Linked DNA regions of Macaca fascicularis. The protein of the gene in region 2 purifies or fractionates together with the protein of the main gene of each other region. This does not show direct contact. Links are inferred from orthologs where the notes say so. Each region holds a gene or a part of one and is shown on either strand. Other genes may lie near its edges. The genes, in order: FBXO45 and NMNAT2.

Region 1 (4,323 bases), on a different chromosome or scaffold from region 2:
CTACCTCGGCTGTACTGTGACAGGATAAAGGCCAGTCTTTAAAACTGAATGATCTCGAAACACTCTGCACCAGTCATACCACCACTGTCCCTTTCAAGTGCTTGTGCCTTTAAGGCTGTTCATTCTGTCTAGTTCATTATCTCGTTTTCAGATGGATCAACTCTGCTTATCCTCGAAAACTTAAAAGAAATTAGTGAGAGAGAGTCACCATCACCATAGTCAGCAGAGGTCAACTTTTCTTTACCGGCTTGGGGTTTCTAAAGCTGGACTTGATGTGGAGAAGCTGGATAGCAACCAAAATGACTGAAGGGCTGTGGCGCTGGCATTGGTAAGAATGAAAATTACGGTTACTGGACTTTGTGAAAAAGACATATGAGGAGAACGGACAGGCGAGTAATAATCAAACACCATGTATCAGAGGGTAGGGAAGGTAGCTGCCGTTCCTTTGCTTTTACTAGAGACTAAGAGATGGATATAGCTGTGTGTGTGTGTGTGTCTGAGGTAGGAGCTCACTCTGTCGCCCAGGCTGGAGCACAGCAGTCGATTATGGTTCACCAGAGGCGCACGCCACCACCCTCGGCTAATTTTTCTATATTTTGTAGCGACACGGTCTCTCCATGTTGCCCAGGCTGGGATGCTGAAATTCTTCCCCTTCCAAGAATCCATCTATAATCATGGCCTCCACGTCATTCTCCCTATTGGAATGTTTAATTGACTAAAACTACATTGCCTTCATCTGCTTACTAAGCGGTGGCTCCAGTAAAGGCCACACCTTGTCCAAAAGACAGAAGCAGTTAATTAGCACTCAAATGGCACTCGAAGGCGTGGGCGCGGGGGTGTTCAGTCGCAGCCACCTTACTTTCCGAAGGCACACAGGCACAGACGTTGGGCTAACTGCCGATATTCGGGGAGAACGAGAGGGCCTGACCAGGTCAAGACGGCCTCCGCTGCCCAAGCTACACAAAAAGGTGGGGGAGCTAGGAACTGGCCAGCAAGGAAAGAAAAGTTTCACGCGTTGAGTTGGAGTCTGAAGCAAGGACCTAACCGACACAGGGAAACGTCACAGGAAAGGGGGCCCAGGAGAGCAGACGCGGAGCCACCAGACCAGAAAGAGGAAAAGGCACTGGAAAGCAGCATCAAAGCCACCGGCCCCAGCCTCATACCTGCTCTTCCCGCTCCCCTCCTCGGCGCCCAGTGATGACCTCACCCGCCGGCGCCCAATCCCGTCGAGCGTAAGGCGCGAGGCGGCGCAGCCAAACAGTCACATCCGGGGCCGAGAGGAACCGCGAACGAGCTGGGCGTGCGCCCTTGCTTCGTGCCCTCAACCCGCATGGCGGAGCCACTGGCGCGCCGCGGAGAGGCCGGGCGAGTCGGGCGGTTTCGGCGCCCTCGCTGAGCCGCGGGGGAGGGGCGGAGGACGCCCGTGCAGCCGGTGCGTCTGCCCTCAGTGAGGCGGGGCGCGCGGCGGACGCCCCCGGGCAGGGGCGGGAGTGGTGGAGGCGCCGGCGGCTGGCACTGAAAGGGGCGGTGAGCGAGCCGCTCCGGTCTCCGGGCGAGGCTTGGCCTTCCGAGCAGAGACGGCGGGAAGCGGCGGCGGCGGCGGCGGCCCTCGGGCCGGCTGGTGAGGCGATGGCGGCGCCGGCCCCGGGGGCTGGGGCAGCCTCGGGCGGCGCTGGCTGTAGCGGCGGCGGCGCGGGCGCGGGCGCGGGCTCGGGCTCTGGGGCCGCGGGGGCCGGGGGCCGGCTGCCCAGCCGGGTGCTGGAGTTGGTGTTCTCTTACCTGGAGCTGTCCGAGCTGCGGAGCTGCGCCCTGGTGTGCAAGCACTGGTACCGCTGCCTGCACGGCGATGAGAACAGCGAGGTGTGGCGGAGCCTGTGCGCCCGCAGCCTGGCAGAAGAGGCTCTGCGCACGGACATCCTCTGCAACCTGCCCAGCTACAAGGCCAAGGTGAGAGAGCCCCGGGCCACACCGCTGCCCCCAGTCCCGCTCCCCGGCGTCGTTCCCGGTGTTGCTATCCAAGCTTCTGAGTCAGACGCCTCGCCTCACCAGCCCGCCTTTCCACGGCTCCAGTCAGCACCTTCCTCACCTCCCCCCAACATAAAGATTCTCTTTTCTTTGGATCGAAGTTCTGCTCCTTAACCCACCCCACTTCCGTGATCCACTTTTCAAACAACTAGGTAGTTTGCATCACTCATTCAACTTTTGACTGCTTTCCCCGTTAAAGACAGACCACCACTCTTGTACCTTTTAATGCCCTCATCCTAATTTTCCCCCTGGCCTCCAAATAGACTTCATTATGTTAAATAATCCCCGCTACCTTAACAGGGGCTTAGTTTCTAAGTTTCTAGTTTGCTTTTACTCCACGTTTATCTCATCTTTTCCAAACTCTGATTTTTAACCTTTTTTTTTTTTCATTATTTTCCCCCAAGTTCTCTTTAGTTCCCTCCACTATATTTGAGGCTCACAAGTGGGTGTAGTCCTAGTCATCCTGCTCACTTAAAGATACAGGCCTTTATAGAACATCCACGGGCACCACTTAACATACCGCTTTGTCCTACTGTTGTTGGCTGTTTCCTTGCTAACTTTTTAATAGTTCCACATGGATGGCGTGTCTCTCTTCTTCTGTTTGTCATCTAAGGTGCTGATTACAGTTTCGCTGCGTCCTTTTTTTTTCTCCTAGATTCTTGTGCGTATTCCGCCCGTCTTCATATACAAAATAAAAATGTCAAGAACAGGTTGTGGTAGGGCTGAAAGGATTCTCAGGCCATATAAACAAAGGGTCTTGGCCTTGGGTTCAGCTTAATGGTTAACAGCTGTTCAGTATAGCAGTCAACCAAGATCATATATAAGAGAAGATAAAGTCTGATTGCAATGTAGTAAACATAATAAATGCATTAGTAACTAAAAGGATAACATCCTTTTTTTTTTGTTTTTTTTTCTTTTTGAGACGCAGTGTAATGGCATGATCTCGGCTCACTGCAACCTCTGCCTCCCGGGTTCAAGCGATTCTCCTGCCTCAGCCTCCCGAGTAGCTGGGGTTACAGGCATGTGCCACCACACCCGGCTAATTTTGTATTTTTAGTAGAGATGGGGTTTCTCCATGTTGGTTACGCTGGCCTCGAACTCCCGACCTCAGGTGATCCGTCGGCCTCGGTCTCCGAAAGTGCTGGGATTACAGGCGTGAGCCACCACGCGATAACATCCCTTTGTTATACTAGCTTGCCAACAGGGGTCGGAGTAAGAAGTAAAAAATTTTTTTTCATGTGAAGCATGTAAAATTTATACTTCTATAGTAAAACTGGTTTTAGTTATAGAAGACAGGGAACATTGCCATTAAATATGTCAACTATCAAGTTGTTTCTCTTTTCTTTTTTCTTTCTTTTTTTTGGGGGACAGAGTCTCGCTCTGTCGCCCAGGCTGGAGCGCAGTGGCCAGATCTTGGCTCACTGCAAGTGCCGCCTCCCGGGTTCAGGCCATTCTCCTGCCTCAGCCTCCCGAGCAGCTGGGACTACAGGCGCCCGCCACTACGCCCGGCTAATTTTTTGTATTTTTAGTAGAGACAGGGTTTCGCCGTGCTAGCCAGGATGGTCTCGATCTCCTGACCTCGTGATCCACCTGCCTCAGCCTCCCAAAGTGCTGGGATTACAGGCGTGAGCCACCGCACCCGGCCTCGAGTTGTTTTTCTATTAAGCAAAATAACAATAATTTACTAGGACTATTTGTGCATGGTGGCTATTCAGTGGATACTGGTTGTAATTTATATAGGTGAGTGCAGATTATTGGAATTTTGTCCTACTTTTATAAATGTGTAGGTTTCATAAATTTTATTTAGTTTTTATTTTTCCATAAAGCTTATTGTTTTTACTTATTTTAAACTAGGAGTTTTTGTTGTTGTTTTTGAGACAGGGTCTCACTCTGTCTCCTAGGCTGGAGTGCAGTGGCGCAATCATAGCTCACTGCAGCCTCAACCTCCTGAGCTCAAGTGATCTCCTTAGCTTAGCCTCCCAAGTAGCTGGAACTACCGGCATGTGCTACCACACTGGCTCCTTTTTTATTTTTCACAGACACGGGGTCTCACCTTGTTGCCTGGCTGGTCTCAAACTCCTGGGCTCAAGTGATCTTCCCACCTCAGCCTTCCAAAGTGCTGGGGTTACAGGCGTGTGCCACTGCACCCAGCCTAAACTAGGAGTTGTTGTTTTGGTAATTGACTTGTAATAGAAATGTTCACATGATTCAAGAATCATAATATGTAATAGATAATGTGTCGTGTGAGTCAAGCTTCAATAGAAGCAAAATAATATCAAGCAAAATGTTTTCCTTTCA
Region 2 (4,406 bases):
TATGGTTCATGAAAATAGAGTGTTCATGGAATTATGCAGTCAGAAGATGAGTGGGCACTTCCTGCAGCCTTTGTTGCAGTATGAAGGCCTTTACAAGAGGAATCAGGAACATGAGGCTGAAGTCTCAGTGCCACCTATTCTCCATGTGTGTTCATGAGAAAGTCACTTGGCTTCTGTCAGTTTCTTATTTGTAAAATAGAGGTAATAATGTATTTCTTATAAGGTTGTTAATAGGAATAAGTAACTTAACGTAGATGAAAAAGTTTTGTTAACCAGAACTGCTCTACAAAAATAAATTATAAAATTTATCCAGAGCTCAAAGATTCACATAAGAGATTCTACCAAAAATAGTTTAATGTGTATTTGTGTTCTTATTCTTGCTTCATTTTTACTTGTTTATGTGCTAAATTCTTCATTAGGTAATAAGCTCCTTAAAGCCATAGTGAGTGAACATATCATATCCTTTTTTTGTGTTGCTCTCTGAATTATACTTTAATGGACATGCAAAGGACTTTGTTGACATTCTGCCCTGGTCCTCAGTTCTTACACTAAGTAAATAATCGCTACTGCCAAAAGTCTCCTTTTCACCTTTCTATATCTAAACCCTTCCACTGCAACTCAGGCCTATTTCCACATAGTCTATCCTTGAAGCTCATGGAGAATTGGCAGGTCAGTGTTTGCTTAACAAAAGCCTTTATTACTGTTAACAAAGAATCTTCAGTTGCAGGACAGAATTTTTGGTTCTCAATCCAAATCCGTTTCTCTTGTAATCTAAAATAAGTGGGATTTCATAGCTCCAGGAAGAAAGGAGTAGTACCCACTGAGTCACCAAAGATTCTTAGAGTCACAGAGTTTCATCCTCAGCCCAGTGGCTCTTCCCTACTCCTCCTTTCTCTTGGTTCCAAAGGAAAACCCATCATTGCCTGGTCAAGGGAGAGGAGTAAAGTGCATCAACATAAATTGCCAGAGGACATATGGACAGACAGGAAAAGAAGGAAAGGGATGAAGACACCAGCATCAAAGGGCACTGGGCACTGACATTCCTTAGAAGACTGATGAGATGCTCTTGTCTACCCTGATGCTTGAACAGAAGTCCTTATTTAACAGGCAAGTTGGCATTGGTTCTTAATAAAAGACTTTTAAAAGCTGAACGAATGGTGAAGAAGGGATGGCTGTTTCTCAGCCTCCCTCCTTCTATGGTGTAGATATGCCTACCCGATTTGCCCTCTGCTCAAAGTAGTTCTATATTCTTTCCATGAGGTTTTTAACAAGCGATCCCAGTTCAGCGCACCTTTTAAGTTTAAAGATGAATATTTTTAGCCTAAACCACCTCGCCCTGTCTTTACTGCTGTAATGTGGTTCTCATTAAACCTCCCCAGGAGGGCTCGCGCAATCCTCAAGCTCCGGATAAACACGTGTGCCCGCATCCAGCTCCGGCGCGCCCTGCATTTCAGCACCGCCGCCTCTGGAGAGCGCCTCGCTGGCGGGCCAGGTCAGGGCCTCCCACCCGCTCTCTCATCCATCCCAGCCCACTCATTCTTCCCTACTCCTCGCTTCTCTCAGTTTCAAGAAAAAGCACCCCCAACTTCTAACTTCTCAATTCGTGCTTCTAAAGTGACCTCCGCGTCCCTCTTTCCGTGTCCAAACGCTCATGCCCCGCTCCTTTGAGTCCTACTAGCAGCTGCGAAGCCGCGTGGTTTCCCACCGGTGGCGCGAGACCTCCAACAGGCATCCATCGATCACCTTTCCCCTGCGGCTCCTGGACCCCGAACCAGCCAGCCAGATGCCCCCGCTCGCTCTCTCTGGCTCCACGCCCCAAAGCTTCTAAGAAACAAACGCGCGATGATGAGTCCCCTCCCCCCAACACGCACACGCATATACTCACACACACTCATTCGCACATTCATACACACACTAGACGCCTCAAACCTTCCGCGTGCCATGGCCACCCTGGGCAGAGCCTCAGCCAACTTGGGCCCCGATCCTTCGGCTCCGGCTCCCGCAGGGCCTCCCGCAGCCGCCACCCGGCCCCCTCCCTGTCCTAGGCAGCGGGTTCCTAAGGCCGAACCTAGGCGGAAAAGGGCCCCCTCCCTATTCGCTCAGCATCCACCTCGCACGGGCAATACACGGCCCACAATTCCCAAACACTCGTCCCTGGGCCGCCCAGAACCACCAGCCAAATCTGAAATTAATCTTGAAGCCCCAGCCCCTGTCACTGGTGTGTTGGGCGCGAGTGTGTTTGTGAATCCGAGGCACATACATGATTTAACTCCTTGGAGATTTCGGCCCATCCTAAACAAACAGCACGTTATCTCCAGCCTCCTCCTCCCCCTACTCGGCGCCCCAACCTCTGCCCCCATCCCGGTCCTCGCCAGCCTGGTAGCCGAACCACCACACCGCCGCACTCCAGTTCTGGTATCTCGAACCCCTGCCCAGCCCCAAATGACACTTGTCTCTAGTCCTCTCCCATCCCCCACCTTTGGCCCCCTGGAAGCCGGGTCTTGGCCCCAGCAAGTGACGCCTCGGAAACGCAGTCTGCCTCCCCTCCCCCGAGTCCAAAATAAAGGGGCCGACCTCCACCAGCTGGATCAGCCGGCGCACCCCTCCGAATGGGGCACACGCCTTCCCGTTCGATCGCCCTGGAAAACACAGGTGCCTGGGAAAGGAGAGGAGCGGAAGCGGCTTCCAGAGGTGGGCGGGAGGACTCACCAAACATCTGAATGTGCCCTTTGGTGATGGGATTGAAGCTGCCGCAGGCAAGCAAGATAACGTGGGTCTTGGTGGTCTCGGTCATGGTGCAAGTGGGTCCCTCGCGGTGGTCTAGGGGTTGCCTCTCTTTTTGTGTCTCGTTGTGTCTGCAGAGGGAGAAAGGAAGGCGAGGCTCCGGCGGTGGATGCTGTGGACTCCAAGGAGCCGCTCCAGACGCAAACCGCGTCACTCTCCGCCTCCCCTTAACGCTTGCAGCTCCGGCAAGCTCCGAGGCTGCTTTTGTATTGCTCTGCTCTCTTCTCTCCTCGGTCCCTCTCTTTTCGTTCTAGCTTCCTTGCCGTCTCTCGTCCTGGTGCCCCACCCCATCCTTTCTATCCCCCCAGCCCGCTTCACTTCATCACTCTCTTCCTTAGAGTTTATCCAGAAGGCAAGACGTGGTACCCAAGCTCGGAACCAAAAGCTCACAGCATGGTGTGGGCTCTTTCTGCCTCTTGCCTCATCTTGATTCAGTTTTCCTCCTCAGTCTAACATTTTTCTGTCCGCCCTACTTTCTCTAACATCTCCAAGTTAAAAAATGTTTCATCTTAAGATATTTTTTTCTTTCTCTCTTCCTCAAAATTTTAAGTGAGAAATGACCATTGTTTATTTCAGTAGCATTCATTTCTGCCTTTCCTTTTTCCCTTATCTGATGATTCCAAACTATTGAGTCCAAATCTTGATCTGTTGCCGCAGAGAGATAGGGGTGATCTCAACCTTTCCTCTGCTATACTGATCCTTTTTGTGGGTGAAGCAATGCTATCCATTTGAGAGAACATGAAGGGGGCAGAGTTACTAAAACTGTATTAGAAAATTATGGGGATCCGCCGGGTGCGGTGGCTCATGCCTGTAATCTCAGCACTTTGGGAGGCCAAGGCGGGTGGATCACGAGGTCAGGAGTTCGAGACCAGCCTGGCCAGCATAGTGAAACCTTGTCTCTACTAAAAAACAAATACAAAAACTAGCCAGGCATGATGGCGTGTGCCTGTAATCCCAGTTACTCGGGAGGCTGAGGCAGGAGAATTGCTTGAACCCGGGAGGCGAGGTTGTAGTGAGCTGCGATCGCGCCACTGCACTCCAGCCTGGGTGACAGAGCGAGAATCCATCTTGAAAAACAAAGAAAATGATGGGGATCCTCCATAATCTACCAAAGTTGAGACAAAGACCATTTAACAAATGTTTCTTGAGGACTCACTGTGTGTCAAGTATTGCTATAAACCATGCTGGTGAAGCAAAGTCACTGTCTTCATTTTACTGGAGGAAGATAGACAATAAATATTAGATGGCAATTGTGCAATGCACAGTAAGTGAATGCAATTTACTCTCTCACAGAGCAGAGAGTGAGTGGAGAAGAGGAGATGAATCAAGTAGTCTGAGAAGGCCCTCTGGGGAGGTGACATTTCAGTGAAACCTGAGCGACAAGAGTAGTTGCTAGCCCACATATTCAGGGACAGGGAAGGGCTTACTGTGCTCATAGAAATGAAAGGCCAGTGTGGCTAGAAAATATGGGCAAAGGGAAAAATGATAGAAGACTGAGCAGCAGGTGATCAGGGCCAGATCAAATGGGGCTTGTAGGCTAGGGCAAGAGTTAGACACTTTTCTAAGTGGAATAATAACAAAAGGAAGCCACTGAAGCTTTTAAGCAGAGGAATAATATGTAA

The links.
Region 1: the proteins of NMNAT2 (region 2) and FBXO45 purify together in Homo sapiens (co-immunoprecipitation; 3 studies listed by BioGRID and IntAct, with this or other methods). This does not show direct contact. The link is inferred for Macaca fascicularis from reciprocal best matches to the Homo sapiens genes NMNAT2 and FBXO45.

Annotation. Positions count from the first base shown.
Region 1 is NC_088376.1:1,968,604-1,972,926, forward strand, and holds the start of FBXO45 (F-box/SPRY domain-containing protein 1), read left to right. Parts: upstream 1-1,315; 5' UTR 1,316-1,629; coding exon 1,630-1,947; intron 1,948-4,323. UniProt on the Homo sapiens protein: Component of E3 ubiquitin ligase complex consisting of FBXO45, MYCBP2 and SKP1. Functions in substrate recognition but also plays an important role in assembly of the complex.
Region 2 is NC_088375.1:40,953,228-40,957,633, forward strand, and holds the start of NMNAT2 (nicotinamide/nicotinic acid mononucleotide adenylyltransferase 2), read right to left. Parts: upstream 2,878-4,406; 5' UTR 2,795-2,877; coding exon 2,575-2,794; intron 1-2,574.